Linked DNA regions of Caenorhabditis elegans. The protein of the gene in region 4 purifies or fractionates together with the protein of the main gene of each other region. This does not show direct contact. Each region holds a gene or a part of one and is shown on either strand. Other genes may lie near its edges.

Region 1 (9,241 bases), on a different chromosome or scaffold from region 4:
TTTATCTAGAGATAATACATCATTGCTTAATTAAGAAAATCTAGTAAAAAAAAAGAAAGCCCTCTATAAAAATTTAATAAGCTATCAAATTATCCAAAAACTCAAATTTTTGAAAAGTGAAAAATTTTTCGTGAGTGTAATTTATTACACTGAAAAGTTTTAAATTCAATTACTATTGAATGTAATCAATTTTTAAATTTCAAAAGTTTAACTTTCTGTTCAAAATTTTTTTGTTAATTCTTTGCACTTTCGAGTGGTCGTCGGTGTAGAAATTGTATTACTTGTTTTTTTTCTAGTTTCCAATGTCAGTTCCAACTTTCAAGTACCTGACACTAATTTATATGTTTTTTCAACATTCTTTGTCATTTAGAATCAGATGTTTCATAACTCAAAAATTGAGTTTTTCTAAAAATTTGGTTTTTATAATTTTTTAAAGAAACAAAGTTTTGAAAATCTGATTTGTCACCTATTTAAACTTGTTTCCGCCTTCTCAAATGTTATTTTCGGAGCCAATCATTTTCAAATTTGATCTGAACCACCTTCCAAATCTAGAGTATTACATCATTCAAAAAAGGTTCAAAGTCACCTTCATTCTTATAGATTTTTCCATTTTAAGATCAAATTTCAGAGTTCTTCGTTTTACATTATTCCTAATTTATTTCAAATGTCATGCTTCGACAAGTTCTCTCATTTTCTCTCCATCTAATTAGTGCGATATGAGCCGTTTTTTTCAATTTTTCATCTCCCACATTTATTTTTTTATTTTCTTGGTAACATCAATTCTTTTGAAAATACTATTATTATCTATTCTCACTATTAAATCAATTTATTGGAAAAATGAGAGTAATCCAGTCTAGACAAAACAGATATTGTTTTATTTTTTTGGAAATTTCTGGAAAAATCCAATCGAGAAAACTTATAACTGACGGTTGTGGTTCTTCTAGTGTTTGAATACCTAAAAGCTAATATTTTCAGTTTTCTGAAAAAACTATGATTTTACTATAAGGACATTTTTTGAATGTACACATAAAGTATAAAAACTGAAAGTATTCTGAAGCTTAATAGTAGAGTACCCCACCCCCATAGTTCTCTTGACCGCATCCTAACTTTTGACCTATATATCTTCTCTTGGCCAATGGACCGTAATCAATTATGCTCTTCCGTTAACAAATATTCTATTGAAAATGTCTTGCAGACTGACAGAAATCCGTGTGAAAAAAGTGAAAAAGTCGGATGAATTATTTCTGAATTCCAGTTTTTGACTAGTATTTTTTGAGTAAAAGTTGTGGTTCTTCTAACTAGTATATGCACGTAGAAAACGCCATCACAAATAAAAATATCATTAATTTTGCTCTTCATTGAATTTCGAAAGTTTTTTTTGAGCAGAATGCACTTGGGTTTTGAACTTTTTTAAAAATTATTCAACAGCTTTCTGAATCTGTCTTGTAATGTTTGAAACCTGATTGTGAATGAAACAAGAGTGAAGTAAAACAAAATAAATTTTAAGTTCGGAGAATTGATTATAAATGTTTATCTTTTTTTCTTTTTTGAAGGTGGATGTGGAGAAGTTGTCAAAAACCATTCCTATGATGCCAAAATGTTCAAATACAACTTTTCAAAATAAAAAGTGTGAAAATTTTTATTGACAGTTTAAAAGTGGCAATTACTGAGTTTTTGCCACTTTTTGCCATAGACGACTTCCAAAAAGCGAAGACTTTTCCAAAGTTTTGAAGCTTACTTGACATGAATGTTTTCTTATTTTCAGTCAACTTTATCTTGTTTTTTTCACAACATCGCACTACATCCAGACACATTTCTGTTGACTCAATATTAATTATTTATTATTTATTATTCATTTTGCAAGGATGTGGTGTTCTTATTCCTATTTTTATATACTTCTCCTTTTTCTTTCAGAAATTCTAGAAATTATTTTTATGCTAATTGAGATGTACATTTGAGACATTTTCATGCCGTGATGACGTAATCTATCTGAATCTTGAGATATCTATGTACATTCTTGCTAATAACGTGAAAGGTGTCATATGTACTGAGGTCTACCTTATCATTTCCTGATTATAACATCATTGAAACATATTTTAGACATATTTTAATAAATTTCAGTTTTTTTTTGTCCTATCTGGTCAATAGTTTTTTCTACAAAAAAATAGACAAATAAGAATTAAATTCAGCTAAAATTATTGAGATATAGTGTTGAAGAATACGATAAAACGACGGTAATCTTTCATTCGATTAAATTCTAGAAACCAATCGCGTATCCAAAATCTTAAATTTTTATAATTAACAGTTAGCTAGAGTTTCTTTATTGGAACATACAATTAGCACAATACAATTGGAAAACTTCGGTTTAAAGAATCTGTAACAATTTTCTTTTACTTGATTTTGTTCAAGTTTCTCAAGTTTTAGCACGTGCTCTAACCCTGCAATAAAAGTTTGTACTTTATTCAAGTATTCATATTGTACTTGTACTCTATCGTATGATCATATTACTCATGTCTAAAACTTCGGTAGACACGCATTTTTCCAACATTTTTCTTCCATAAATTCCTGTTATCTTGCAAAGTTCATTTGTAAACTAATACAACACATGTCTGGCTGATTTGACCTTTCTCATTGAAATTGATGGATCATGTGTCAAAATGGGACCACTACAGATCACTAGATACTACTATCACTATATCACTATTTAAACATGGCAGATTTCAAGAAAGTTTGCCACATTTTCAGATGAAATCATCTTATTAATTTTGATTTCGAAAACAGATATTAGCAGCCTACCTTCTGGATTTTTCGGTTACAATGTACCTATTTATTAATCAAAAACTATCACTTCTGCATTTTGTAATCATTCCCCAATCATCCTTGTGCGAAAAATAGGATAGTTCTTCAAGTTTTTCCCTTCCCTATACTTTTGCCATATATTTTTTTAATTCCCACTGGACTTTCCCAAAAGAATTATTTTTCGAATATACCACACTTTTAACAAATTTTCTGGATTCGGAAACATTATATTTTTTTTTCTACAAAACCGCAAAGACTATAGTCATTTTTCGAGGTCAACAAACATCCAAATATCATTGCGAGCATCCTATGTTCCTCTAATTCTCTCATACTTTGCTTCCGAAAACCCAAGAATCACAAAAAAATCTTGTTTGATCTTTGCCTTATTTTTCCAACTGCTAATTGACCTTCTTCGTTTATATAATTTTTCACTTTATAGAAATTTACTTTTTAATCAATTTCAAACAACAAAATTTGATACACTTTCTTAATATTATCCTTCTCCTACATTCTCATAAATTTGAAGGTTTCTCTTTCAACATTTCTGATCTAAAAAATGTGCGAGAAAATACATTCTTGGTTTCTTCATATTCATTTATTTCTCCGAAATATGTTCTCTTTTTCTTTGTTTTTAATTTTCGGTTTTCTATGAACAAGTGGTCTTCCTTATTTGGAACACTTCCCCAAACTCTTTCCGAATAAATTGTTTTAAATTTCAGATCGAACGATTCGTCATCTAATTCGTGAGCAAATATGGACGAAGGAGGGGGTATTGGAAGCAGTTTGCTCTCCAGAATCACGACGACAGCCTCTGAAATTATGATGCGAAACGAACCGACGACAACTGAAAATCCAGCTGTTCAAGAAATGAATCATATTTATCATTTGACACCAAGTATGAAGGTGAGACTTTTAAAAAATATTCTTATACATTCAAAGTATATCTAAAAATCCAAATTTTACAAGAGTTTTGAAACTTTGAAAAAAGGAACTAAAATTAGTTTTTTTTACATTTCATATTTAGGCAATTTGGCCATGTTTTTAGCCAATTTTACCTGCTGAAAATTGATTTTAACGTGCCATGTACTTTTATTTTAGTTAATTTATGATAGCGTTTTCTTCAAAACTTGAACCGTAAATAAAAAGTTTTGAAAATTTTTCAAGTGCTATCATTATTAAAATTCGGTATAATTTTTAGAGGCCATTTTAAGTGTAAAAAATGAATAAAATTACTACATTATTACCTTTAATATTTGTACCTATTTATTACTAATTTTTTACAGATGTTATGTATTCTTTTCTATAGTATACTTTGCGTATGCTGTGTCTATGGAAATGTGCTCGTTATTCTGGTTATTGTTTATTTTAAACGACTTCGAACGGCGACTAATATTTTGATATTGAACTTGGCAGTTGGTGGGTTTTGTTACTTTTGAATTTTTGAAAACTTTTTATAATTTTTCAAATCTCCAGAACTTATATGAGCTTCTAAATGGATAAGTTTAAAAAATTAATTAATCTAAGATGTTGAGCAAATTTCCCAAAAAAACAACTAAAATTGCAGCTGATCTTCTCATATCAGTATTCTGCATTCCGTTCAGCTATTGGCAAGTATTGATTTATGATGATCAACGTTGGCTCTTCGGCTCAATGATGTGCTCTTTATTAGCATTCCTTCAAGCAATGGCTGTATTTTTATCAGCTTGGACACTTGTCGTTATCAGTTTTGATCGGTGGATGGCTATAATGTTCCTTTTAACTCCAAATATTCGAATTACAAGACGAAGAGCTCTTTATCTGGTAGCTGCCACGTGGATATTCAGTATCCTAATGGCGTTGCCGTTACTCTTCACAACGAGATTTTTCGAAGACCAAGACGGTTTACCGAATTGTGGAGAAAATTGGACGTATTTTGGAGATTCTGGAGAACAAGTGAGAAAAGTGTATTCTTCAATGGTCTTAATTCTACAATATGTTGTACCTCAAGCAGTTTTAATAATAACTTACACACATATTGGAATTAAAATGTGGAATAGTCGAGTACCAGGAATGCAGAATGGAGCAACAAAGAAAATGATCGTTGATCGACATGAAAGTGTCAAAAAGGTGAGATTTCTGGAATTATTAAAAATTTAAGCCTAACCTTTCAAAAACTCCCAGTTTTGATTTATTAGAATAATAAGAATATGGAAATAATGCAACAATCAATGGCTCCTCAGTGCGGTGATGATAATAATAACCATAATCAAAGTCAACCGACCCCTATATTTATAGGAACAATATTCTCATGTGTAGCATAAAAATAATAATCAAAAATCGTTTTTGACATAACCTTTTCCAAATCATTATTAAGTGAAACTTTAAAATTGAAAAAAATTAAATCAAAGTTCGAAGTTATTACATTTTACCTGCCTATTACATGACGGTTTGATAAAGTTGTTCAGTAGATTGAAATATCGTTTTTACTTATTTTTATCAAATACAATAAATATTACCGCGTGAGAAACGAAACCTGTTAATTAAATAAGATTTTTAGCTGGTCCCAATGGTGATTCTCATTTCGGCACTCTTCGCACTTTGTTGGCTTCCTTTACTTATACTGATCAACGTCATTCCAGAATTCTATCCAGATATCAACAGTTGGGGATATATTCTGTATTTGTGGTAAGAAATATTCTTTTAATCTGACTCAATAATTTGGTTTTAAAAATCGCATTTTGAGGTGGTTTGCTCATGGACTTGCCATGTCTCATTCAATGGTCAACCCAATTATCTATTTCATTCGAAATGCCCGTTTCCGTGAAGGATTCTGTTTCTTCTCTTCAAAACTTCTTCCATGTATATCATTTAAAGAACTTCGTCTTTTAACTGATAATACTAGCAGAAGGTATGTCAATTTCTACAAAGTTGTCTGTTTTTGAATTGAAGCCAAGAGTTAGGAGCAATTCAGTTTATTTATGTATCAACCTTATTTGTTGATAACCAGTTTGATAATTTTAATAACTCAACAATATCATTCAGTTTTCGAAACCGTTCACGGTTTTCTGGTGTCATAAATCCGACTTCAAGCGATGAAAAACCTGCTGTAAGGATGTTCTCTAACCCATGTTTTTTGTCCTTCTTGACTTTTTGTTTGGCTTGGCTTTTTTATTTTTACATTTTAAAGTTTATTTTGCACTGCTTCACATGCACTAATATGTTGATTAAGTTAATTTCATTTTAAATTATGAGTATATCGTATTTCCTCTTTTAGTATTGCACACCATTGTTCAACTTTGACAGTGTATATCTCAGTTATCATTTGTTCCATTTAAAAATTGTCAACTAACAAAATATTTTTTAGTTCTTTTTCTATAATTTCGTAGTTAAAGATATAATGATATATTCAAAATAAACCGATATATAACGTTACAAAGTAAAGTTGTCCGGTGCATTACTAAGAGAGGAAATACGGTACGTTAAATTAGCAAAATTAAAAATCTTCTAAGTCAGCCTAGGTCGTTCAGCGCAGTTAATTTGCGATGGACCCATCAGAATCCTAGAGCAGTGATTTATCTACACATCGTCAAAAAAATCGGACATTGCGCATACTGCGACTCGTAAGCTGCCTATAATGAGCACATTGAGCCAGGATTGCTATGAAATCATTGTGCTTGTTTACTGAGTCATTATGTGCCTGTCGCGAATTAACTGCGAACTAAATTTTGCCACCAAATGATAGAGGGAAAACCCCTACTACTGAGAAAGTGTTTGCCGATGAAGTTTAGCGAAACCTAGAACCATAAGAACTTGTAAGTAAAACTTTAAAAACAGTTTTTAAATTCAAATGCTTTACTTCTAAACCCTTTTTATTAATTAAACGCCTCAATTATATCCACTGCCTAGTACACATTTTCCAATCTGATTATTTCCACAACATCGACTTTCTTCCTAGCCACAACCTAATTTTCAATATTTTCAGACATCGCTTACGAGATATTCACGAAGTGGAGTCCTTGACAGGCAAACATGTCGTTCGGCACGTTTCTTCGAAGCCCGACCACTCGTCGTCGTCCGAAACAACTCTGCCAATTCTCTCGCGTAGCTTTTCCCGTATCATTAAGAAAATTGATCTACCATGTACTTGAGTGGAAAGCTATAGAAGACCATAGATTCAAGGTTTTTGTTATTTGAAATTGTATTTTAAAGCATAATTTCACAAATTATGTTTATATTCCATCCATTTTATTGTATTGTAAGAAAAAACCCCTCAGATCTCCTAAGAAACAATTTTATATGAAACATCAATTGTTGTCTGAAACGCTTTTCATACCGGTAAATACTCGCCCCACCAAATCCACGAATCATCACCAATATTTTAAACTTGTACCATACAAATTGCGTGTTTTCATTTTATTTGAATATTTTTTCAAAACTAAATGTAGAAATAAATGTTAGAATACTACAAATTTACATCTGACAGATTTAAAAGAATCCAATGAGTTGACTGAAATTTTGTAAACTGGCAAATTACTGAGCAATTCAGATAAATATTTGATTGATTTCGGTTTCAAGCTTGTAGTTCCACGTGTGAAGGTTTATTTACAGAGATTCGGCATTTGTCTATTTTTAGAAGGGATGCATTTTCCGTGAATTGTATGCAAGTATTTTATTAAAGAAAAATGAAATAAGCAGTCTTGATAGGCAGACACTTATATTTAAAGTATATAGTCACTCCAGAAAACAGACAAGAAAACAATCAAAGTGAACAATTTTTATGCATTTTCATTCAATCTTTATTCTTCAATTTTCTCATACACTTCACAAAAGTAAAGCATATGAAAACCAAAAAACACAAAACACCGTCAGCGACTTGTTGTATGCAGAAATAAATCAGAAATGATTGTCACTTATCCCTTTGTGTTGAGATGTTGTGGCGCCTTGTAAGCCAACTCGTGGACTCCTCCATTGTACAGCTTGGCAACGATTCCGGAACGAGCAGCCGCGAGCCAAATAGCTGAAGCTGAGAGTCCGATTCCGCAACCAATGACAACGGTGTCTCCGACTTTGATTCCCTTGGCGGCGAAGGCTGGAAGTATTCAGTTAACTTCTGCAAATGATATCAACTAACCTTGATCACAATCAGTCTTCTTCTTGAATCCCTTGGCAGCACAAACTTCTCCGATTGGGAAGTGAATCGCATCCTTGCAACGAACACCTTCGGCTTTCGAGTCTGGATATCCAATTGGAACTTTTCCGATAAACTCTTCCTTCGAACGAGCATCCAAGTACTTGATACTAGCCAAGTTATCGAATGGAATATCAGCCATCTTGGCAAGAATGTTGTTGTCGACCGATTTAGCTTCATAGTTTCCAGATGAGATCATGCTCTCACCGGATTGAACGACACCTTGGGCAAGTTTGAATGCTTCAATACCACCGTTCAAGACAGATACGGTAGTATAACCATAGTACTGGAAACACAAAGAATTTAAATTTATTCTGATACATTTTGAAACTAACTCTGAATGTCCAGTAAGCACGAGAAGCAGCAGCCATACCACCATCTTTTCCACGTCCATAGATGACCAAATGATCTCCGTTGAATACACCCAATCTCTTAACATACGACGAGAATTCCTCTGGAGTGTACAAAGTGAACCGCTCATTCTCCGATGGATAGTATGCAATGTCAAAGTTGAAGTGAGCAGCTCCATTGATGTGCTCGGCAAGGTACTCAGGGTTCTTCAACTCATTCATTCCAACACCAAACTTGTTGTAGTACTTGGCCTTGTATTCGGCAATATCGGCTTTCGGCTTGAAGGTCCACGAGGCGTCAAGGATGCGGATGTTTCCAAAGTTTTGGACTACCCACTTCGGCTCGACAATCATATCCACAGCCATGGCTCTTCTTTCTTCAGTTGGTTGATAATCGCTGTTGTCACAAGACGATAAACTGAATTTTCGTTGCAAATCCCCTGTATTTACCCTTTTCTTATCAGGATGACACAATCTAAAAGGTTACAAAGGTTATTCGAGCATCACGTAAATTTTGATCTTATGGAAATTATAAAAGTCAGCATTATAGATTGGTGATAGTTGGGAATCATTTAATTTAATTAATTTACGCTCTCGAGGAATAAGTGTGAATAAAATAAATAAAGTAAAATAAAAGTGAATAAATGCATAAATGTGATTTCTCAAAAAATTTCTGAGCTTGTTTGAATTTAGATAACACTGAAGACTTTGAATCATTTTATAATTTAATTTCAGTTTCTCTGACGGCGACGAACAGATCATGCTTGATTATGATGCAGAAGAAGAACTGTTGGAAGATCCGTTCAAGTCAGTTTAGGTGTTCTTGAAGCTTTCTAAAAATAACTCGTATTCTCCAAGGGCACAAATCTGATTGTTGTTGAGGCTGGAAATTATTAAAAATATTCTGAGGAAGTGTTTGCTATGT
Region 2 (7,710 bases), on a different chromosome or scaffold from region 4:
TCCGCACGCAGCTGCGTCGCGGTCATGGCCGTGGCCGAGGTTTCCAACACTCTCGCTAAAACTCTGCCATTATTCAATATAAAAGGGACCCTGGAAGCCCATCAAGCGTGTGGTACATTTTAAGTGTCAAATTTTTTAGGTGAAGCACTATGTTATGCGTCTCAACTCGAGCAACCAAATATTTTTGGAAGCAAAAGGTTTCGAGACGATCGCCTCCCTCGTCAACTACTACATGTCCTCGAAAGAGCCCATCAAGAAGCTGACAGTGCTGAAGACTCCGATCTTGAAGCAACCATGGGAGATTGAGCATTCGCAGGTGGAGCTCACGAAAAAGTTGGGAGAAGGAGCTTTTGGCGAGGTTTGGAAAGGAAAGCTGACATTGAAGAATGGAAATGTCGAGAATTGTGCCATCAAAACCGCCAAACTGGAGTCACTGAACAAGGAGCAAATCAAGGAAATTATGCGAGAAGCCCGGCTCATGAGAAATCTCGATGTAAGTTGATATTTTTCAGGGAAAATTCTCTGAAAATCTATGAAAAACGTGACTTTTGGGTCCCGACACGACTGAAACTTTCACAGCTACAGTACCCGTATTCGCGAGTACGGTAGCTGAGAAAAATTTCATAGGCGTGACGGGACCGAGCACGGATTTCTGGCTTCCCTCATCAAATTAAATGGAAGTTTTTGCCGAACTAGGCCATTTTGGCTCGGCCATGTCTAGGGTAGATTTACGGCGCGTTGCGTGTCGCGTCGCGGCTCGATTTCAGTTGTAAAACTACACGGGGTTCTAGCCTTCCTCATTGAATTTTTCGCGCTCCATTGACAATCGCCCGCCGGATAACGCGTGGAAAAGTCGTGTACTCTACACGGACAAATACATTTAGTTTTACAACTAAAACCGAGCCGCGACGCGACACGCAACGCGCCGTAAATCTACCCCAGATATGGTCGAGCCAAAATGGCCTAGTTCGGCAAAAACTCTTCCATTTCAAGGGAAGCCAGAAGCGTGCGTACTCGCGAGTACGGTAACTGAGAAAAATTTTACAGTCGTGGTGGGACCCAGGTTACATGAAAACGCAATGATTTCTCACTGAAATCTTGTGAAAAATTGAAAAATAGAAGAAATTTTGAGTTATTTTTTCTGAAAAACTCGAAAACTCCTTTTAAATTTCGATTTCGCCCAAAAATTTAATTTTTTTGCAGCATCCAAATGTCGTTAAATTCTACGGAGTTGGTGCAAGCCAGGAGCCGCTGTACGTCATCATGGAGTTGGCGGATTGTGGAGCCCTGGACTCGTACCTTCAGAAGAATCCGAATTTGGTGCCCGACAAGAAGATGGAGATGATCTACCAAGCAGCGTGTGGAATCTCGTATATGCACGAGAAGAAACTTCTACATCGAGACATTGCGGCGAGAAATTGCCTGTATGGAGGTGGTCAGGTCAAGATTGCGGATTTTGGGTTATCCCGTGAGGGAATCTCGTATGTCATGGACCTGACGAAGAAGGTTCCGATTCGTTGGTTGGCTCCGGAGACGTTGAAAGCGGGGATTTATAGTCCGAAGACTGATGTGTTTGCGTTCGGTTAGTCTTTCCAATAACATTTTCAAATAAAATAGACATTTTTTCAGGAATAATGGCTTGGGAGATCACTGAGAATGGGAAGGAGCCGTACCCAGACATGAGAGTTGCTGACGTCGTCGGAAAGGTCCGTAATGGATACCGCATGCGGTTTGATCCGGTCTTTGTGGACTTCAGATTCGGCGACTATGTCACGGTTGGTTTGAATCTGAAATTATAGCTAATTACTAATTTCTCATTTTTCAGAAGCACTGCTGGGCTGAAAATCCGGCGGATCGTGTGAGCATGGCGGATGTTCTGCGCTATCTTCAGACAACTTTTGGGATGAAGCCAGTGGTTCTATCGATTCTATCGAGCAATCGCTCGACCGAGGAGGAGATGAAGACGATGAAGCCGCCAATGTTCTCGGTGAAGAGAAACAACAAGAAGAAGCCGAAGTGATCTTTGATTTGTTCGGAAATAAAGTTTTGATAGTTTTGACTTGAGATGTTAATAAAATTGTTTTATTACCCTGAGAATTCGAGAGAAGAATACGGTACCTGGTCTCGAAACGACAATTGTTTGTTAAATGCGTGAAGGTGTGCGCCTTTAAAGAGTACTGTAATTTAAAAATTGCGGTATTTTCTTCAATTTTTTTATTTCTTTTGATTTGTTAAAACATATACTGTTTTTTGTTAGTTTATTGATGAATAAATTCAATTTTTTTTACAAAAAAACTACGAAAAGTCGATAATTACAGTAATTTTCAAAGAAAGGCGCACAGATTTATTCAGATTGGTCTTGGCACGCAAAAAAGTTTATGGTAGTTTATTTTTGTGCGATTTTATCTATCGGTGAAATTACGATGTTAATTTTTTCAAATTCATATAGCGGATCTGGAAATATTTTTGACGTTGATAATTTTGTGTTTTATAGCCTGAAACCGACTTAAAATACAGAAATTTCTACAACCCAAAATTGTCGTAAGATCCGCTGCTTGCGGACATCAAGTGTCGTCGTTTATGACGTAAAGTCCGCAGATACACACACATGACTCATGAATTTGTTTTTATCGCTTTCTTGCGAAATTTAACTTATAAAAGCACTTTCTCACCGTAATTCTCGTATTTCAGAAACTCAAATACCAGCTTAATACACATAAAATCATCATGGGAGCCGGAGAAAGCAGTATGGCCTTGGAAAGTGAGTTTCAAATTGATTTCTCTTGATTTTGACTTATTTTCATGTTTTTATCTTCCAGAACACTTATTTGATCTTAAATTCGCAGCGAAACAGTTGGAAAAGAATGCTCAACGATGCGAGAAGGATGAAAAGGTCGAGAAAGACAAGCTGACGGCAGCTATTAAGGTAAAAAATAATTAAAAATGAAAAAAAAAACAATTATTTTTTAAATTCGATTTTTTCCAGAAAGGAAACAAAGAAGTCGCACAGGTTCATGCTGAAAATGCGATCAGGAAGAAGAATGAAGCAGTGAACTACATTAAAATGGCCGCCAGAATCGACGCAGTGGCCGCCCGAGTTCAAACCGCCGCCACACAAAAACGAGTAACCGCCAGCATGAGCGGCGTAGTGAAAGCCATGGAAAGCGCCATGAAGAGCATGAATCTCGAGAAAGTTCAACAGTTGATGGATAGATTCGAAAGAGATTTCGAAGATCTCGACGTGACCACAAAGACGATGGAAAAGACGATGGACGGAACGACAGTGTTGAATGCTCCGAAGTCACAGGTGGATGCTCTGATTGCAGAGGCCGCCGACAAGGCAGGCATCGAGCTCAACCAGGAGCTTCCGTCAAACGTGCCAACTGCTCTGCCGACCGGGACGCAAGCTGTTTCAGAAGACAAGGACCTCACAGAACGCCTGGCTGCTCTTCGCAACATGTGATCTTCCAGATTTCTCAAGAAATTTCTGTGAATATGAATATTCTGCTGACGGTTTCATTTTTAAAATTAAGATACTGCTTTTTTTCTTGTATATACAACATTTCTCTCAATAATGAAGCAACAATTTTTCTGCTTTTTTTTTGTTTTATCTAATCTATCTAGATCTACGAAGTTCAGCTCATGTCTTCTTCGAAATATTTATTCTTTTATTTTTCAGAACATTTTTTCTACAAATCGGTCGCTTACGTGTAGGCCACAACAATCACCGCCCGCGTTTCATTCTCTGCGTCTCTCGTCTTCCCACACTCTCTCTCCACATCGTCTTATCTCTCTCATCACTTGTTTTATTATTTTTATTCTTATTTTTCACGAATTTTCTATAAAAAACGGAATTTTCGAAGGTTTTTAAGGAAAAACGTGGCAGTTTTAAAGCTATTTTAAACATTTTTCGGCTAAAATTTCGAATTTCGGCTTTAATTAATTGATTCAAATTTAAAAATCAAATTCTGAACTCTGAAGTGTGTACTTTGACCCCGCCGCCGCTGTTTTTTTCGATCATTTCTTCATTTATTAATAAATAAATAAATTTATTCCCAGTTTTTCTTCCAGCCAAGCGATGAAGATTCTCGTCGGAGTCAAGAGAGTTGTCGACTATGCTGTCAAGGTAGGATTTCAGGAAAAAGAGCAAAAAATTCGAAAAAACAGCTTAATTTCGGCGAAAATCTTGAATTTCACCAACTTTTCCGTGTCGCAGCAGTTGGAAATCAGTTTTTTGTCATTTTTGGCTCAAAGTGTACCCCAATCAACGGAAAATCGATTAAAATTGGCAATAAAAGCTGATTTCCAACCGCTGTGACACGGAAAACTTGGATAAATTGGAGATTTTAGACACATTTCGATTCTATAAAAGCCCAAAATTTCCAGATCCGTGTCAAGCCGGACCGCTCGGGAGTCGTCACCGAAGGAGTTCAACACAGCATGAATCCATTCGACGAGATCGCTTTAGAGGAGGCCGTCAAGCTCAAGGAGAAGAAGCTCGCCACCGAAGTCGTCGCGTTCTCGCTCGGCGGACCAAAATCCGCCGAAGTGCTCCGGACCGCGTTGGCGAAGGGCGCCGACAAGGCAGTTCACGTTCAGGTGACCGACGCCGAAGCTGGCAAGCTCGAGTCATTCCACGTGGCGAAGGCGCTTCAGAAGATTGTCGAGCAGGAGAAGTTCGACGCGGTTTTTCTCGGAAAGCAGGCAATCGATGATGATTCGTCGCAAACTGCTCCGATTCTCGCTGGCCTGCTCGAGTGGCCACAGGCTCTCTACGCGTCGAAGGTTGAAGACGCAGGCGCTGGACACATGAAGGTCACCCGTGAAATTGATGGAGGTCTTGACACGATTAAGGTGATTCTTACTATATCGATCGATAGCCGTGAAAAGCAGCCCCGCACAGAACGCGAGACGGGGCTTGATATTGCAACCCTGCGGCACGGTTTTTCCTTTTTCCGCTTGTTTTTTGTTTGATTTTTTCAATTTTTCATGTTTTAATCTCTTTTTTCGAATGAGAACGTTATTTAATTTAAAATCAAAATTTATTAATCGATCCTTAAATTTTGCAAAAATTTGTCGCACAGAAAGTGGGGCGGAGCGTAGCTTACGCAACACTGCCGCACGGGGTTTGTCTCCGCCCCTTTTCCACTGCTTTTTTTGTTGATTTTTTCAATAAAGTTTCGATTTTTCTCTTTTTTTTCGAATTGGATTTTCATTCGAAAAAAAAAGAAATTATTGAAAAAATCAACAAGAAAAGCTTAAAAGCAGTAGAAAAGGGGCGGAGGCAAACCCCGTGCGGCAGTGTTGCAAAAGCTATGCCCCGCCCCACTTTCTGGGCGACAAAATTTCTTGCAAAATTCAAGGATCGATTAATAAATTTTGATAGTTAATTAAATAACGTTCTTATTCGAAAAAAAAGGAGATTAAAACATGAAAAATTGAAAAAGCGAAAAAAGGAGGAAAAACCGTGCCGCAAGGTTGCAAAATAACGCCCCGCCCCTATTTCTGCGCGCCGCTATTTTGTTTGCAAAATTCACGGATCTAAAGTTTTATTCGAAAAATTTTCTATTTTCCAGGTCAAAGTGCCATTCGTCCTATCCGCCGATCTTCGCCTCAACGAGCCCCGCTACGCGACTCTTCCAAACATCATGAAGGCCAAGAAGAAGCCACTGAAGAACATTCCAATCAAAGATCTGAATGTAGATATCACACCACAAACTGAAACTCTTGAAGTCACCGAGCCACCAGTTCGCCAGGCCGGAGGATTCGTCGACGATGTCTCGGCACTTGTCGCCAAGCTCAAGGAGAAGGGATTCGTCAAGGCTTAAGCCCCCGATAACCTCTTCCGCCGCTGAATTATTGTAGTAGTCGAATCAGAAAATTTTGTATTTAAATTATTTTTATTATTTTTTCTATTCAATGTTTTATGTGATGCAGGTTTAAAAAAGTATGAAAAATTATTTTTGTTCATAAAAGTGAATAGCTTGAACGGGAAACGATCAAAAAACGGAATGCATTGTTCACAAAACCATGGGAGAATTGGTGTAGGTAGATCTGGAAATATTACGGATTATTATCTGGGCGCGAAAAATTACGCGCCCCGCCCCTAAACGATGGGTCTCGTTAGGTAAATATTTGGCGGCAAGACGGGAAATTCAAATGTTTTACATTATTCTTGCCAATTTTTAAGCTTTTTTTCATATTTTTTATAAGTTTTAGGTCGAAATAACGATTACTTCCGACGATTTTACCCGTTTTCAAGCATTTTTCGTTATTTTTTATGTTTTTATGCCGAAATTATGGTTAAAAATGATTATGACATTAACTTTTTCAATTTTGACAAAAAAAAACTCATTGAAAACAGCGAAAAATGCTGGAAAATTGGCAAAAACGGTTTTCCCGCCAATTCCTAACGAGACCCAACGGTTTGGGGTGGAGATTTGTCCGTGGAGCGCAATTGCACTTTATAGTATTACGGAAACTCACACATTCTGAGAATGCGTACAGCGCAGCATATTTGACGCGCAAAATATGAAAATATCTCGTAGCGAAAACTACAGTAATTCTTTAAATGACTACTGTAGGCCGATTTACGGGCTCGAATATTGAAATGAATTTCATTTCGAATAGTGACAAAGATATTCAATTTTTCTTCGTTTTTCAAACAAAAAATCATTTTCGTAAATCGACACAAGTGCTACAGTAGTCATTCAAAGAATTACTGTAGTTTTCGTTACGAGATATTTTCATATTTTGCACGTCAAATATGTTGCGAAATACGCATTCTAAGAATTTTTAAGTTCCCGTAATATTGGAATTTTTGGAATGAAAAAAAAAAAGAAAAACTTACCATTCTAGTCTGAGAATTGCACTGGGGACATATGGATTTTGAGGGCGATGATGTGTTGAATGACTCGTATTTCGGAGATTTCATGCGGAACGACGTCGAGTCCCCACACCGGAATACCTCTGCCGACCTTGATGACGTCATCCGTAACGTGGCTCGCCCTGAAACGACGTGTCGTGTCTGCTCCCGCTGCTCATTGCACATTGAGAGCCTCGCCTGCCGCCGACGCCGCATCATCACACTCTCACCGTCGGATCTTCGTTCGATCAACAGAGTCAGCGAATCGGAGCGGGACATCCAGAATCGGAAGATGCTCGCCGCCTGATCTACGGAAACGGCGCGAAGTGAGATCTTGTTGCACCGGAGTAGACGATCGCCTTCTCGAAGATGTGTGCTCTGGAAGTTTTTTAGAATTTTTTTCGAAAAAAAAAGTGACCCCTAACTGAATTATGAGTGCAGCTAAGCATGTTGAGCTCAAGAAAAAAAGAAAAGAAAAAGTAGCGGCCATCCAATTATGTGTACCCGCGGCTCATCGGACTTGAGCGAGCCCTATTACTCATTCAAGTGCTCACTAAATTGGCTTTTTCTTCTTCTTTTTTCTTGGGTCTTGCCGCGATTATGCACATATGTGTATAATAATTTTTCCCCTATTGTGCGCCTTTAAAGAGTACTGTAGCTTCAAAGTTTTGTGGGATTTTTTTTGATTTCTCATAGTGTTTCGTTAAAAATCGATTTTTTTAATTAAAAAATTACTGAATTCGATTTTAAAATTTTTTGTTAAATATAAACGGGTGAGCGCCTTTAAAGGGTACTGTAATTTCGAACTTTCGCTGCTATGGAATTTTTTAAATAGATTTTTCGTA
Region 3 (6,683 bases), on a different chromosome or scaffold from region 4:
ATATGTCTACTCTACTTTTGGCCTCCGACACATTTGCAAGACTGCATAACAATCTATTTACATTCACAAACTGCATTCCCACAGAAGCCATTCGCTGTACCCCACAGAAAACAAGCATTTCTCTTAAGAGCTTTTCGTTTGGAAAAATGATGAGATTTCTGCAGCTGACAATATATGATGACTATGAGAAAACATAGAGATGTATGATTCAATGAGTGAGAAGTGGACACAGAATATGAAAGAAGGAGAGATACGGTCTCTCTGTTGCTACCAAAAGGCTACAAAACATGAAAACCGTATTTTACTTTCTAATCGGAGCCATGCTACAGCTTAGCATGATGAGATTGGGATAGATTATAGGCTCGAAACTACGATAAAGATAAAGCTACGAATATTTTAGCCTTCTTCTGATCCCTCTTCCAGCAAGAAGATACGTGGAAAGAAAAACGAACACTATTCCCTCAAACATTTGTGACACACAAACAGTGTGTAAAGTCGGTAGACGCGGAGGCGAATCAAGATACTAGTGTCATAATGTAGACTACACACTACGCTAGTTGAAAGTCGATAAATGAAAGATCATCATCCATCAGGACATGAAATATGAAAATATTTATCAAATGCATAGAAAATTTGCAAACATCGTTGCTAACAACTAATAGATCAAGGAATCAAACCCATATTTGTTTTCGGATGTTTTATTACGACTAGAGTTCGCACAACCAACCGAAAAACTTTCTTGTGACGGTAGAGCGAGTTGAAAACAACTTATCGCGAGGATCTTCGATTTCGAGGATGTCTGGGAAAATGGAATAACAGAGATCATTGTTCCGAATACCTACAACTACGTTGGCATCGAAATTGAAGTAACAATTAAATAGTTAATTTCGTAAAATTTTTTATAATCTTATAGAAAAAAAAAACATCAATATATTTTGAATGAAGCTCTTGGGTAGCATATGAAGCCAAAATATCAGATCTTTGTAAATACTCAAATTGATGTTTCGTATGAAGACCAAAAAACTAATGATTTTCCATAAAAACACGTTGTCTAGGAGAGAAAAACGAGAAGAAATGGCACGGACCCACTCTATGTGAGGAAAAAGAGAGTAAGGTCGGCCAACGAATGGAAAATGTCTCTCTGTGGCTTTGTTCACTGATGCGAACGAGAGTGAGAGAGTTGCAGAGAAGAACACAACGCTTCGCTCCTGACTCGGAGACGCAGACGATCAACGGTCAAACAGCAAGCCCAGCAAGACATCAGACTATAAATAGGTAGGAGAGAGAAGAGAATTAGATAAACAAAGTGAGGAATGGAGATCATTGAGAACATTGAGCTTTACCCTCGCATTGGGAAACTTCAGATAAGGTGTGCTTCTCGCAATTCTTTTTGTTAGAAAATCGTTTTCAAATATATAAAAGAGAGGGGCTGATGATGAACACTTGATGTTTGATCAACTTTTTCCTCGTCGATCATATGGGTGATTATTGAGTTAGATAAACTCAAACCTGGCCTGCAAATTCCTCGTGGGAAACAAAGAGATGGATAATGAGAAAAAGTATATTATCGGAGTTAAAGAAATTGTAAATGGTGACACTGCTAGAAAATCAGAATTCGTAGGAAATACATAATTTATGCATCTTTCAGAAAAAGACATCTACGTGATTCATGGGAAGTTCTCAAGGACATTTTCTCAAGACATTTTGAAATATCTTGAAAAAACATCGAAATCAAACGTCAGCAAAATTTTGAATGATCTCCTGAACTTTTCACCATACCGTGACCTGTGTTCTCTTGCAACACTTTTGTTCGTTTCATTCCAACTTAACACATTTTCAAACTTCAACAATGTGATCAAACTAAACAGAAAATACATAGCGTCGAGTTCTGTGTTCGATATGTGCTCTCAAATGAAACACGGAGCGGGAATACACTATAGTTTCTTTTTATTTTCGCGCCGAGACCAAACAAAGCAAAGATCTAACATTTATGCAGCACAAAAACAAAGATCTAGAAGGAAACCGCACGCTTCTCATAGCTCGAAACAACAAAGTGAGAGGAGATGATGAATAATATGATTTGTAATAAGGAAGTGAGGATTAGGAATATGATTCTCAAATAATGTCATGGGGAATTTAGAGCATATCTCCTGTTTCTGGTGCAGAATTTAGAAATGGAACTTATATTCAAGAAATAATGCTTGAAAATTAGAAGAAAACACAGAGAAATTCGGAACAGGATAACAAACAAAAAAAAAGTTTTGTCCGAGAGGAGTTCACTGTGCGCTTTTGTAGTAGTCCTCTCAAGACCCAAGTGCCCTAAAATGGCTTGCGCCTTTAACCTCAATTCTTTTATTTGATTTTTATTTTCGATTTTATATCTTAATTTATAAATTTTAAAGAATTTGAATATTTATCCCAAAGCTTCGCAGTTCAAAAATAATTATTGAAAAGTACAGTATTTAATAAATCAAATGTATGATGTGTCTCATACGTGAATTCGAAGTATCAAATTCCATATTCGGGACGTGCATTTTTCATATCAGAAAAAATGTTAGCTTTTCATGGAAATAAAGTCAAATGACAAACTCTGATAAAATTCTGAAACATTCGTGAAATTTTGAGTGGAAATTTCAAGAATCAGAAAAAAAGATTCACTTCCTCTTCCCATTGTGCCAAAGATCAGTTTTTCAGAAATTTATGTTTATTTTTTCGTAATTTTCTATTTTGCGATAGCGGATTCAAGTCATAATAAAAGTAATTCGTAAATGTAGATTTTCTAACATCACAGTTCAGAGCAGAATCTCAAACATTGTGACTAAATATATGTAGTTAGGAAAATGAATTCATATTCATATGAACGCAAAAAGTAAAATGAAGCATTAAAACACACATTTGAAAATTTTTTCACCGAACGAAAATTTGCATCCGGTTTATAACATCTTATTTATACGCACGTATAAGATGTTTTTTATAGGAAAACAGCATCCCACACTCATAAATTGTTGATCTATTCCTTTTTTGATCTACCCGCCAAATTATGTTTGTTTTGCAGATGGGAATCAATGAAACGAAATATTTCCCAAATCAAAGAGCTGGCAGATATCTCTTATGTTCAACAAAGCCATGCGATCGACCTACATCCTTATCATCGTCCCACTGATCATCATTGGAGGCGGTGTCGTCGCTGACAACACAAATGAGACGCCTGTTCTCGCGCATTCCTCCGATGAGCAACCTCATCAAAGATGTAAGTTTTGATTTAGAAAATATCGTTGTTTGGTAATTAATCAATCTTACAGTGACATACTACAACTGGGACCACAAGGATCTTGGCACCAGCGCATTCGAGGATCTTCCACCGCTTCAAGATCAGCCGACACCCCTTCCAATCGATCAATCCGATCGTTGCCCGGATGGCTGGTTGAGATATTCGGACTCGTGCTACTTCATCGAAACAGAATCACTTGGATTCGCAAAAGCCGAACGAAAGTGCCACGATAAGCAGGCGACACTATTCGTTGCCAACTCGATGGAAGAATGGGATGCTGTTCGCGATCACGCTGAAAAGTCAGTCTTGTCATGGATCGGTCTCGTTAGATTCTCACATTACGAAAGATTGGAGCAGTTGCCAAGATGGCAAACTACTGGATCCATTAATCCATCTAAGATGTGGGTTTTCACTAAATCTTCTATATCGCTTCGCATTTTTCAAAAAATAATTTTACAGCAACTGGCTCATCAAACCGTTCAAACCAGTCGTCAATGGATGGTCATCGTATGCCAACTGTGCTGCAAGCTTCCAGTCTCCAACCGAAGTCGAATCTGCTTCGTACACCTTCTTCTATCCGTGCACTATGGCGTTCAAATCAATCTGCGAACGCAATTCAACCATTCTCAACGCTAGAAATTAATCTAAAATATGTTCGAAACTGCTCACATATCTCTTACATTAAGAATTATTTTGTACTACTTATTTTAAAAATTTCTTCTCACAATATAAATGATTATCATTGTAGAATCTTTATAGAACACACACATACAAGTCAAGTTCGAATTTATGTAGTCATCTATTTCTGAATACGAAGTCTATCAATGCGGCTTAAAATATCATCAAGTTCGTCGATTTCCGTCGTCAATTGTCCGGCAGTTTTAATTAGTTCGTTGGATAGATCATCAATCTGGAAAAGTTTCAATAAGTAGATCACTGCAAAAACTTCAACTTACAGTATTGAATTCAGCCGCGTTGGTTCTCAAGTGAATTTCCAACGTGGCAAGCGCTCCGCTCAACTCTTGCTCCGTGGCACCGAAATTAAGAAGCAAGTCTCGTGTCGCCAGAATTGTTTCAGCTTGATTTTCAGCACGAAGTGTCGAACGGATGCTCTCCTCGTTTGGAATGAAAATATCGCCGCCATTGAAATTATGATCAGACGTGGAATGCGAGAATTGATGCGTTTGTTGCTCAATGTTTTCTGAAAAATTAACTTTTAAATGCAGATGGATTTTTTTTTGAAATTTTTTCTAAAACGAGACAGACCGACCTAAAATATTTGTCCAACATTGATTCTCTCGATTATCGTACTCTACAGCAGTTCTTGTTTGATAATTCTTACGTGTCATTGTCTCAATTCTTTCCAGTTCATCTCTTGACTACAAAAACTCGAAACATTACAATTTGAACAAAGAAAAAACAACTTCTCACCATTACATCTCTCTGAATATTAAGATTGCCTCTTCTTGGCATATTCATATTGTTATGACGTTGCTGGTGGTTTCTACGATTTTGATTCGGAGCCGGAGCATTGTGACGTCGGGGGGGCTGTATGTTTCTGCTGAAGAAGGAGCTCAGTCAATATTTGTGATTTTTCTCCAACAACTTTTAAATAATCTTATATTTTCGGTGAAATGTTTAAGTAAGACTACAGTACCCCTGCCTTAACATAACCCTATAAGTCTCAAGGGATGTATTCCAAATGGTCCCGCCGCACCCGGAAGTCACAAAAATCTGTATTTGTTCGCGCCTTCAAGGTTACTGTAATTATGGTATCGAATTATTTTTCTTTTTTATTAAATTGTTTAATTTTTTAAAGAATGTTTTTAACTAGTATTTGGTATCGTAATGTTTTCGTCTGAAATTGCGATGAATTATTCAGAACACCAGACATAAAATATGCGCATTTCTACAGTAACCTTACAGGCGCGTTGCTCGCGGTGAGACCATATAACGTTTTCCTTGAAGCTCATCGAGGAAGATATGTATAACTGAGACACATAATATTATTGCTTCATACTTAGGTCACTTACTCCACGACTTGATTTTGTCTAATTTGCGGTTGAACTGCTTGAAATTGTCGATTTCCACCAGCTTGAGCTCTTTGTTGATTATTCATCATAAATTGATGGAATTCGGGATTCCAAATTGGATTCATGACGGAACGTCAGAGATTATCGAGTTTATTGAAATGATTTAAAAAATATTCGACATTCGATTATAGTGATTGATAACAACTGGAATAAGTTATAATGTAAATAGGATTTCACGTAGAACAAATTTTTTCAGTTCTAATTTTATTATATATTACAATTAAATATTACATTTCCTACGCCCTGACCAGAACGCAAAAAAAACAATTTTAGAAAACAAAATAGTTCATAAAAAGTTGAAAACAATTTATTTCAATTTTAACAATCTTATTCAACTAACCATCACTATCAATGTCTTCTCCAAGTTCAGCTTCTGAATCTGATTCTAGTCAAATGTCTCTGTTGGCAACGCCACCCGTTGCAATTCGACGACCACTTCCATATCCAAGGTAAATTATATCGAAACATCCAGTGTACATAACTGCGAAAATTCTGACAATATACATATCTTTTTTTGTGATTACAAGAAGTGTTGTCTGAATTGGGTTACTGTAAGGGGTTTCTGATATACGGTACTTGTTTTCTAAATCTTATGGTGATTTCAGAGACATAATTTCAAGTCCACTCGAAGTCGCAACTCCTGTTACTGTTTCTCCAACAGATTTCATGCCAATCAGGTATATATATAATAGCAAACACTATTCCTAAGATCGTGGCGAGACTCACACAGAAAAACCGCGTGTGCCTTTAAATATTTTATTAAACTTTCTCGAAATGACGATATAAATATTTGATTTTCTATCGATGTTTCCTAAATGTTATATAATTCAATTAAATCAGAAAAATGAATATAAATCTTCAGAGAACTTGTCACAACTCCATATCACATTTCGACTCCAGTGTTAATAACTCCAGTTGATGCAAGATCGATCTCAAGAGAAATTGTACGTGTCAATCGTATAAGACGTGTTCGAACTCGTCAAGCATCTCGTTCCGTATTCAATAGTGTTCGTCGTCGACTTTCAATGATAACAGCTAATCGAACTGAAATTCAAATGAATACTCCACAAACATTGCCACGTAGCAAACGGTGAGCTTCCAGATTACGGTAGCCGGTCTCAACACGATCAAAATTACGAACCGTGTGTTTATAAGAAAAATAATTTATTCATTACAGAATCGACAACACTTCGACAGCCATGGAACCAGTGAGTTCGAATGCTTTTCAGAAAATTATTTCTGAAATTCTGAATAACTCACCTGCGTGTACAGAAACAATAAACTCAACAATAATTCCATCAAATTCATCGAATTGTGCG
Region 4 (6,948 bases):
AGAAGATGCCAATAACAAAACCAAGTGACATACTTGACATGAACAGTTGAATTTTTTATTAATCCACTTCCTTGAGTAAACTACAATCATTAAGATTAAACTGAAGTGAGAAGATAAAAATTTGAAAAAATTTAAAAACAACAGATAAGACGGTTTTATGTTTTAGGACTTCATCGTTCAACTTTCCAAAGATCGTAATCAACGAACAAAACACTAAATCACAAATCTTGAATTATTTTGAAATTTTCTCTTAAAAAAATGCCACAAATTATTCATCGCAGGGTTTGAGGACTGTTAAAACTTGTGAACTCACAACTTGTTTCTCAAGTGTTTGTGAACGTTACATTTTAGGTTCTCGTGCATTTTGATTGTTTTAAACAAATTGAAACGTGACATATGTTCAGATGTTCTAGAATTGAAATGTCCCATTCTTACTGAATATTCCGGCCAGCAGCTGTTTGTGCAAGTTCTAGGTACGGTTTTAAAATTGGTTTAAAATTTAGCAAATGTTGGAAAACTTTGACAAAGTTTTATAGAATCCTGCCCAAGTTTGAAAAACAATTCTGTGTCGTTTTATACTTGGGTAAGACTGGTCAAACTTTGAACAATCATTGAAAAAGCTTAGATTTGAGCTCCTCAAATTTTTGCTCGAGTCAAGCTTTTTTTAAGTTTGACAGTTTCACTCAGTTAGAAAAGGTCTGTTTCAAATATAAAGCATTAAAAATACGTCTTACATTTCATTTAAGTAGAAAAAACTGTACATATGCTATTTTTTTTACAAAGCGTAACACTTTACTCCAAAGTATGAAAGTTTTCATTGAAGCTGTAGTTGCGCCAGCGAGGAAAATTATTAAAACCTCCTATAATGCCAAAAATGGCCAAAAAACATTTCAAGAAGTGATGAAAAACGTTTTATTGACATTCAAATAGTGTCAATTACTGAGTTTGTGTCACTTTTTGAGAAAACTGTCGCAGGTTGGAATTCCTAAAGTGTTAGAGTATTAATATATGAAAAATAAGTCCATTAAAGTCGAAGGATCATTTTTCTGATTGACGACTTTCAAAAATCTGTGTTAACATTCTATGACAGTTAATAGAAATAAAAAGATTTCAAAAAAATTGTGAAGAGTTTAACTATGATATTTGGAAATTTTTAAACAAAATGTATGGTTTTTACTTATTTCCCCAGTAGGGTTACTTTGCCTTTGAGCTTACTCAGAAAACAAAAACTAAAAATAGGCAAAAGTTGTGCATGACCTTGGCAAAACTTGGAGGTTACACCAATATGCAACTGCAACTTGGATTTTGGCAGCACCAAACCCATGTTTGACTCAACTCTTGCCAAACATCTACCCAAGTTTAAAACGAAACAAGAAAATTTTGGGCCAAAGTTTGGCTAGAGTTGGGTCAAACTTCGGATAAGCTTTAGCCCAGCCTGAATCCAAGTTCTGCCAAAGTCCCGCCCAACTTTTGTCCAAGTTAATATTTTTAGGGTCAAACTTGAGCGAGAAGTTGAAGCCAAATGCCGAGAAGATCTAATATTAATCAATAAAAATTAAACAAATATTGATCATAGTCAAAGTACTTTGAAACCAGATTTTCATATTCAATCTTTTATTTTGACTTATTTTATTGTGTTTTTATATTGTACCGAAGCTTTTTATTATCTGCATTATCAGAGTTTCTCAGAACATTCCGCAATCTTTGTAACCTAAAATTATTTACTTCTCTCACATAAGTTATTACCGTATCTATTGTTGTCCTCAGCGTTCCCATCTTTCCAAAATGCCAGTGCACTAATTATTTATTGTGTAAAAGGTTAGCAAAAGGTTTCTTATACTAGACTGCATTCCAGCTACTGGTCTTATCCCGAACAACGCTTCCACTTCATTATCACCATTCCCGCGCACTTTCCCCGGTGTTATTTACTTTTTTCTCAACGATCAGGTTTATATACATATTTTTTAAAGTTTCGTTAATGTTAATCGCTTAACATATTGCATTTGATGCTCATTGGTCGACAAAAGTTTTGCAAGTAGTGTACATTACTCAACAAATATTATTTGTTTGTTGTTTTTCTTTTTGACTAATTAATTCCTCTGGAAGTTTTCTCCGCTGAGTAGCAAGAAATTAATTTACTCTCTCAGCAGAATGATTATGGAATTATGGAATTTTCAGCGTTATTACTCGAGATAAACATGTGTCAAAACAGAGATCTAACGAAAGCCGGATCCCATGTGATTTTCAATTCTTGTTATTCACACATGCACCTTAGTTGTTCCAGACCATTCCCACATATCAAAACAGAATATACTATATTATTCATTTTTTGATAACCTGTAACAGAGAGTCATAATCATAAACAACTGGATGAATAGAAACCACTTGGTTCTGGTGTTCACTGGGGGAGAAGGTAGGGAAGGGGAATTAAATTAATTGGGTTGCGTCCCGGTTATCGTTCATAAATACTGCTGATAAGGATCTTGGTAATAAATAAATAAAAAGTGTCTTGGTCTCAGAGTGTGATTCTAGTTTGGATCGTAGCACAAAGCAACTCTCGGTAGGGATCTCGATTGTCTCGGACTCGAACCATCATTTGGTAGGCGGACTGAAAAATTGAAGTATACTGAAGAAGTGGATTTCTTTTTAATATTTCAATTTAAGAAAAAAAAACGTATTTGCTAAGCGTCCGTCAACGGCTCTCCAGTACAATAGCCATCGCGTTTACCTTATGGTCAGTACCCACCAAGTCATAGTGAATCATTCGGAACAGATTCGTAAACAACTTTGTTGGATCAATCTCGAATTCGATAACCTGACGTCCCGGAGTCACCGGACATGACGGGTTGTCGTCACACATATCATAGTTGCTCCTTAAAAAAACATTCAATGTTTTTCGGTGTTCTGCAAAGAAAACAACTTACAACAGCCCAAAGCTTGGTAAAAACATCCACCCACATCCGAACCATCCGGTTGAACGTTTAAAGATTGACACTTCGACGCCCAAATTGTCATATCGTTTGTTAGAATTACTGGTGATGTCGAGGAAAATTCGAATAGGCGAGTTGAAGGAAACCGGGTAGGTATCATCACCGTTGCCGTTTGTAATTGCACCGCCGTGAAGTTCAAACTTTGTGTCTACAATTTTTGGTATTTAGGGCTCTGTTTTACTAGAAGTACTGTACCTTCTTTACACTGGAAAAACGACGGACGAACTCGTGTTCGATTCGGAAGAGCAACGCATTCTTCTTCTTGTTCTAGAGAAGAATCTGCCATAAGGTATGGAGCATCCGGTGCAACTTCAGGGTCATCAGTGTTATCTTCGTTCGAGCCAGCTACTTCTGCAGCTTGATTACTGGCATCTTGATGGCTACCAAAGTTTTTGAAAGATCGAAAACGAGCAGGCTAAAAAATAAACTAAATCAAAACAAACACAAGTAAACAAAAAAATACCACTTCTTTTTTAATTTCAGCGCTATCTTGCTCAAATTCTTCTAAACTTGCAAAAACAAAAGGGAATATTAAGAATAGTAGAATAAAACGGAAATTCATCGTTAACAGAATTTTTGTTGAAATCTTCACTTGGAAACTTTTTTGGAACTGGCCGCAACCTGGGTGTATCGAATGTTTAGAATAAAACACAGATGAGTGCAAATTGAATAGAGCACTCGACGCACGAAAAGGTGCGGGTTGGTTTTTGAATTGCCTCAGGTGCTAGCGGGAGGTCGACGGGTGCGCTCTGTTCTGCTGTTTTCTGTGCTTTATATACCTGACCGTCTTTTTTTGTAGAGCGCCCAACATGTGGGGCGTTCTTGAAAGTCCGACAAAAACGCGATTCGCACCTGGTTCCAAAGCTCCGCCAAATCACTCGAGAGCCCGCATTTGTCGCTCGATCAATTTCTAATTAGAGCAAATGGTGAAGCACTCGAGATTGCCATTTTTGGCATTTGAAGATTTGCTCATTGCTTTCTAGACGGCTCTCTTCCTCACTCTTGACAAGTTTTTATCAGACACTCGTCACAGAAATGGTCTGCTTATTTCCATGGGACAGTGCAAACACAGAGCACAAAATAAAAACAGAAAAATAACAGAGTTTCTTTATTGGAAAAAAATGAGGGGGATGGAGAAAAGAATAGCTTGCATGAAATACATGTTTCGATTAGAATCATGAAAGTCAGAAAAAAACCACAGAACAAAATTGCTGATATTACCAAAGAAAAATTAAATTCGACACATATAAAGCTACACGATGTGGACGATGCGATCACTGGGCCAAAACCGAAATGATCTTAGATCATGGTATGAACAAGGAATTATTGTGCTCAATGGAATGATGGAATAAAAAGTGAAATAAAAACAATCTCGATTCCCTTTGAAAAGGTGACATTGAACAATTGAATTGCTATAAAATGATGTGAAAGTGAAACAAGTTATGATTTGAATATTTAGAAAACATGGAAATTTAATGAAACTTTAACTATTATCCGTATACGATGACTGATCATCGATTGCATGGGCCAATGCAGCCGCCCGAAGGGAGTCAAAATTTTCAGCCCCTGATTGAGCAGCCATTCTTGAAAACAGCGAGCTCTGATCATCCAGCAAAGTGATCGGTTTGTCAAACTCGACGAGCTCTCCTTTTTCAAACACCTGCAAGTTGCGAACCTAGGCATTGTTTGCTTGTTGAGAAACCACTTACCATTACATTATCGCTGTTCATAATGGTGTGAAGACGGTGGGCCACCGTGATGATTGTGGCGTTTTTGAAAAAGTCTCGAATTGTTTTCTGGATGCAAGCATCTGTCACTCCATCAACATTTGCGGTTGCTTCATCAATAACAAGAATTTTGGATCGGTGGATCATTGCTCGGGCAAGACAGAAAAGTTGACGCTGACCGACAGACAGGCTGACTCCCCGTTGGCCCAATTCGACGTTCAATCCTTTTTCTTTTGTGATGGAACGTTTAAGCTCACACTGAAAATTTTTTCAACGATTATCCTACAGAATCTATTAAAAATTTCGATTTCATATGAATTTCGGAATCTCGTATTAAATTAGACCGTTGGATCAGATTTAGGCACACATAGGACAAAACTAGGGCTACGGTGAGGTGAAGTTTGAACTTGGTTAAAATATGAGAAAAAGTTGGATCAGACTTGGGAGGGGTCATGTCCAAGTCTTCCTCAAGTCTTGCTTATGTCTTGTCCAAGTCTTGCTCAATCTTTGCCCAGTCAACATTTTACTTTTTCAATAAAATTTGTAAAGCCAATGGTGTTAAAACAAGATTATAGGGGCCATAAAAATGGCTTATAAAAATTTCATTCTCACATGTTATTCTTCAATAAATTAAAGCCATACCTGCTCTAACGCAAACCAAATAGTAGCATCATCATACTCATCGAACGGGTCCAAATTCTCCCGGACCGTTCCTGAAAAGATTACGGGCTCCTGCGGAATGATAGACATTCCTCCTCTTCTGAAGTTAAGACTAATGTGATCCAGATCCACACCGTCGATAGTGACACGTCCAGAGCAGTACTCTTTCAGTCCAAAAATAATTTTAATGAGTGTTGATTTACCAGCACCAGTTCGGCCGACGACTCCAATCTAAGTTTCAGAAGTAATACTCTGAACAAAAAGTTAGTAACTCACCTTTTGTCCACCTAAAACAACAAAGCTAAGATTTTTGAGTACTTTGGTCTCCCCATAATTGACAGATACATTTTCAAACTCGATTTCTCCTTTCGTTGGCCAAGAGTTCAGTAGCTGTTTATCGAGGTATGCATCATGTGGTCTTCTGGCTTCTTCTTCAGATTTCAATTTGGTGTACTCTAGCACTCGTTCCACGGAAACCATCTGCAAATCGACAGTTTGAATTCAATCCGCATACTACTATGTTTGTATTGTCTTCATTTGCAACATTTGCTGTGTTCACATTGTATTCATTTAGAATAAAAGACCGAATTGAGAGTTTCGGGTGGGTCGCTCATTTGGCGCCACCATGACAAACATTCCATTTGTGTTTGTTGTGATGTGTGTGTGTGTGTGTGTGTGGAAAATGCGACAAACCACTTCAATCGTCTGATCAGGGCAGTTCGCGCTTGAGCATTGTCCAAAACTCTTTATAATCATGATGTTTCGCCAACCGCATAGTGAGCTCAATTCGACCTTTGATGGCGGAGCAGGAGGAGGAGAAGGGGGAGCAAATTGGAGGAATCTCCCGCGATAAAAAAAGAAACAAGCAAAAAATAAACTCACCCCGTTCTCCAGCTCGGCGCTTTGCCGCATGATCCACGAGAAGAATCCACTCAACTGAACCGCGCACACAAGGCACAATCCGACTTCTCCGACGGTCAGGGTTTCTAAAAATCTCGGAGTGTTGTTTTGAAATAAGATACGATGGACGCGGTGGATAAACGTTACTGTGTTGACTTACCATATTGAAGAACAACAACAATCGCCACAATGGAAACGAAAACAGACACCAAAAAGTCGATGCAAATTCCGAACCAACGGGCGGACAAAAGTCCCATGTTGTACGCGGCCATATAAACATCCTGTGAAAAGGTCAAATTTTAAAATAGTTCGTTCGAGAAATGGGCTCTGGCGTTAGGGAGGGGGGTCTTACCTAGGTGTTTTTAGGGGGTATTTCCTATAGGGTGGGTCTTAGAGGATCTTTTCTAGGTTGTCGTTTCCACTCTTCTAGGAGATTTTAGGGGTTCTTCTTTCTAAGAAAAATTCTTAGGGTTTTTCCGAGTAGTGTTTTAGGATAGGATGTCGTTCTTGTAGTCACTAATGGCCTTGAGCAACGTTAAAATCAGCTAAATTTAGTATTCCGATCAGGGATGTGCGGCGAAAAAACCTTTGACTTGCTCTGAGCTCAATCGGGCTCGACTTAACATAGATTAGTAAATTTTTAACATTCTCAAAAGTTTGGCAATATATTA

Evidence for each region.
Region 1: the proteins of ZK470.6 (region 4) and npr-22 fractionate together in Caenorhabditis elegans (co-fractionation; one large-scale study listed by BioGRID). This does not show direct contact.
Region 2: the proteins of ZK470.6 (region 4) and etfb-1 fractionate together in Caenorhabditis elegans (co-fractionation; one large-scale study listed by BioGRID). This does not show direct contact.
Region 3: the proteins of ZK470.6 (region 4) and clec-91 fractionate together in Caenorhabditis elegans (co-fractionation; one large-scale study listed by BioGRID). This does not show direct contact.

The regions. Positions count from the first base shown.
Region 1 is NC_003282.8:8,555,916-8,565,156, forward strand, and holds npr-22 (Neuropeptide receptor 22), read left to right. Parts: upstream 1-3,516; 5' UTR 3,517-3,552; coding exon 3,553-3,702; intron 3,703-4,082; coding exon 4,083-4,215; intron 4,216-4,363; coding exon 4,364-4,905; intron 4,906-5,335; coding exon 5,336-5,463; intron 5,464-5,521; coding exon 5,522-5,686; intron 5,687-5,820; coding exon 5,821-5,884; intron 5,885-6,760; coding exon 6,761-6,883; coding exon of another isoform or gene 6,884-6,926; 3' UTR 6,927-7,246; downstream 7,247-9,241. Other genes in the region: mpst-6 (thiosulfate sulfurtransferase), read right to left, coding at 7,689-7,867, 7,910-8,252, 8,302-8,682. UniProt on the Caenorhabditis elegans protein: Receptor for the LURY-1-1 and LURY-1-2 peptides which control food-related processes including feeding, lifespan, egg-laying and roaming behavior. Receptor for flp-7 which stimulates serotonin-induced fat loss.
Region 2 is NC_003279.8:2,416,715-2,424,424, reverse strand, and holds etfb-1 (Electron transfer flavoprotein subunit beta), read left to right. Parts: upstream 1-4,071; 5' UTR 4,072-4,078; coding exon 4,079-4,126; intron 4,127-4,386; coding exon 4,387-4,854; intron 4,855-5,576; coding exon 5,577-5,828; 3' UTR 5,829-5,964; downstream 5,965-7,710. Other genes in the region: F23C8.7 (Tyrosine-protein kinase), read left to right, coding at 140-493, 1,204-1,582, 1,630-1,775, 1,826-2,020; did-2 (Charged multivesicular body protein 1b), read left to right, coding at 2,728-2,761, 2,820-2,926, 2,987-3,463; F23C8.13 (PDZ domain-containing protein), read right to left, coding at 5,968-6,054, 6,851-7,243.
Region 3 is NC_003279.8:9,123,474-9,130,156, reverse strand, and holds clec-91 (C-type lectin domain-containing protein 91), read left to right. Parts: upstream 1-3,055; 5' UTR 3,056-3,126; coding exon 3,127-3,250; intron 3,251-3,302; coding exon 3,303-3,672; intron 3,673-3,730; coding exon 3,731-3,914; 3' UTR 3,915-4,017; downstream 4,018-6,683. Other genes in the region: ZK858.8 (t-SNARE coiled-coil homology domain-containing protein), read right to left, coding at 4,071-4,181, 4,228-4,472, 4,542-4,650, 4,703-4,832, 5,305-5,429; ZK858.2 (uncharacterized protein), read left to right, coding at 5,716-5,813, 5,970-6,041, 6,227-6,454, 6,542-6,683.
Region 4 is NC_003284.9:4,173,756-4,180,703, forward strand, and holds ZK470.6 (MD-2-related lipid-recognition domain-containing protein), read right to left. Parts: upstream 3,553-6,948; coding exon 3,454-3,552; intron 3,406-3,453; coding exon 3,186-3,405; intron 3,139-3,185; coding exon 2,925-3,138; intron 2,874-2,924; coding exon 2,729-2,873; intron 2,609-2,728; coding exon 2,516-2,608; 3' UTR 2,310-2,515; downstream 1-2,309. Other genes in the region: mrp-6 (Multidrug resistance-associated protein lethal(2)03659), read right to left, coding at 4,474-4,650, 4,700-4,975, 5,360-5,608, 5,654-5,857, 6,260-6,363, 6,438-6,558.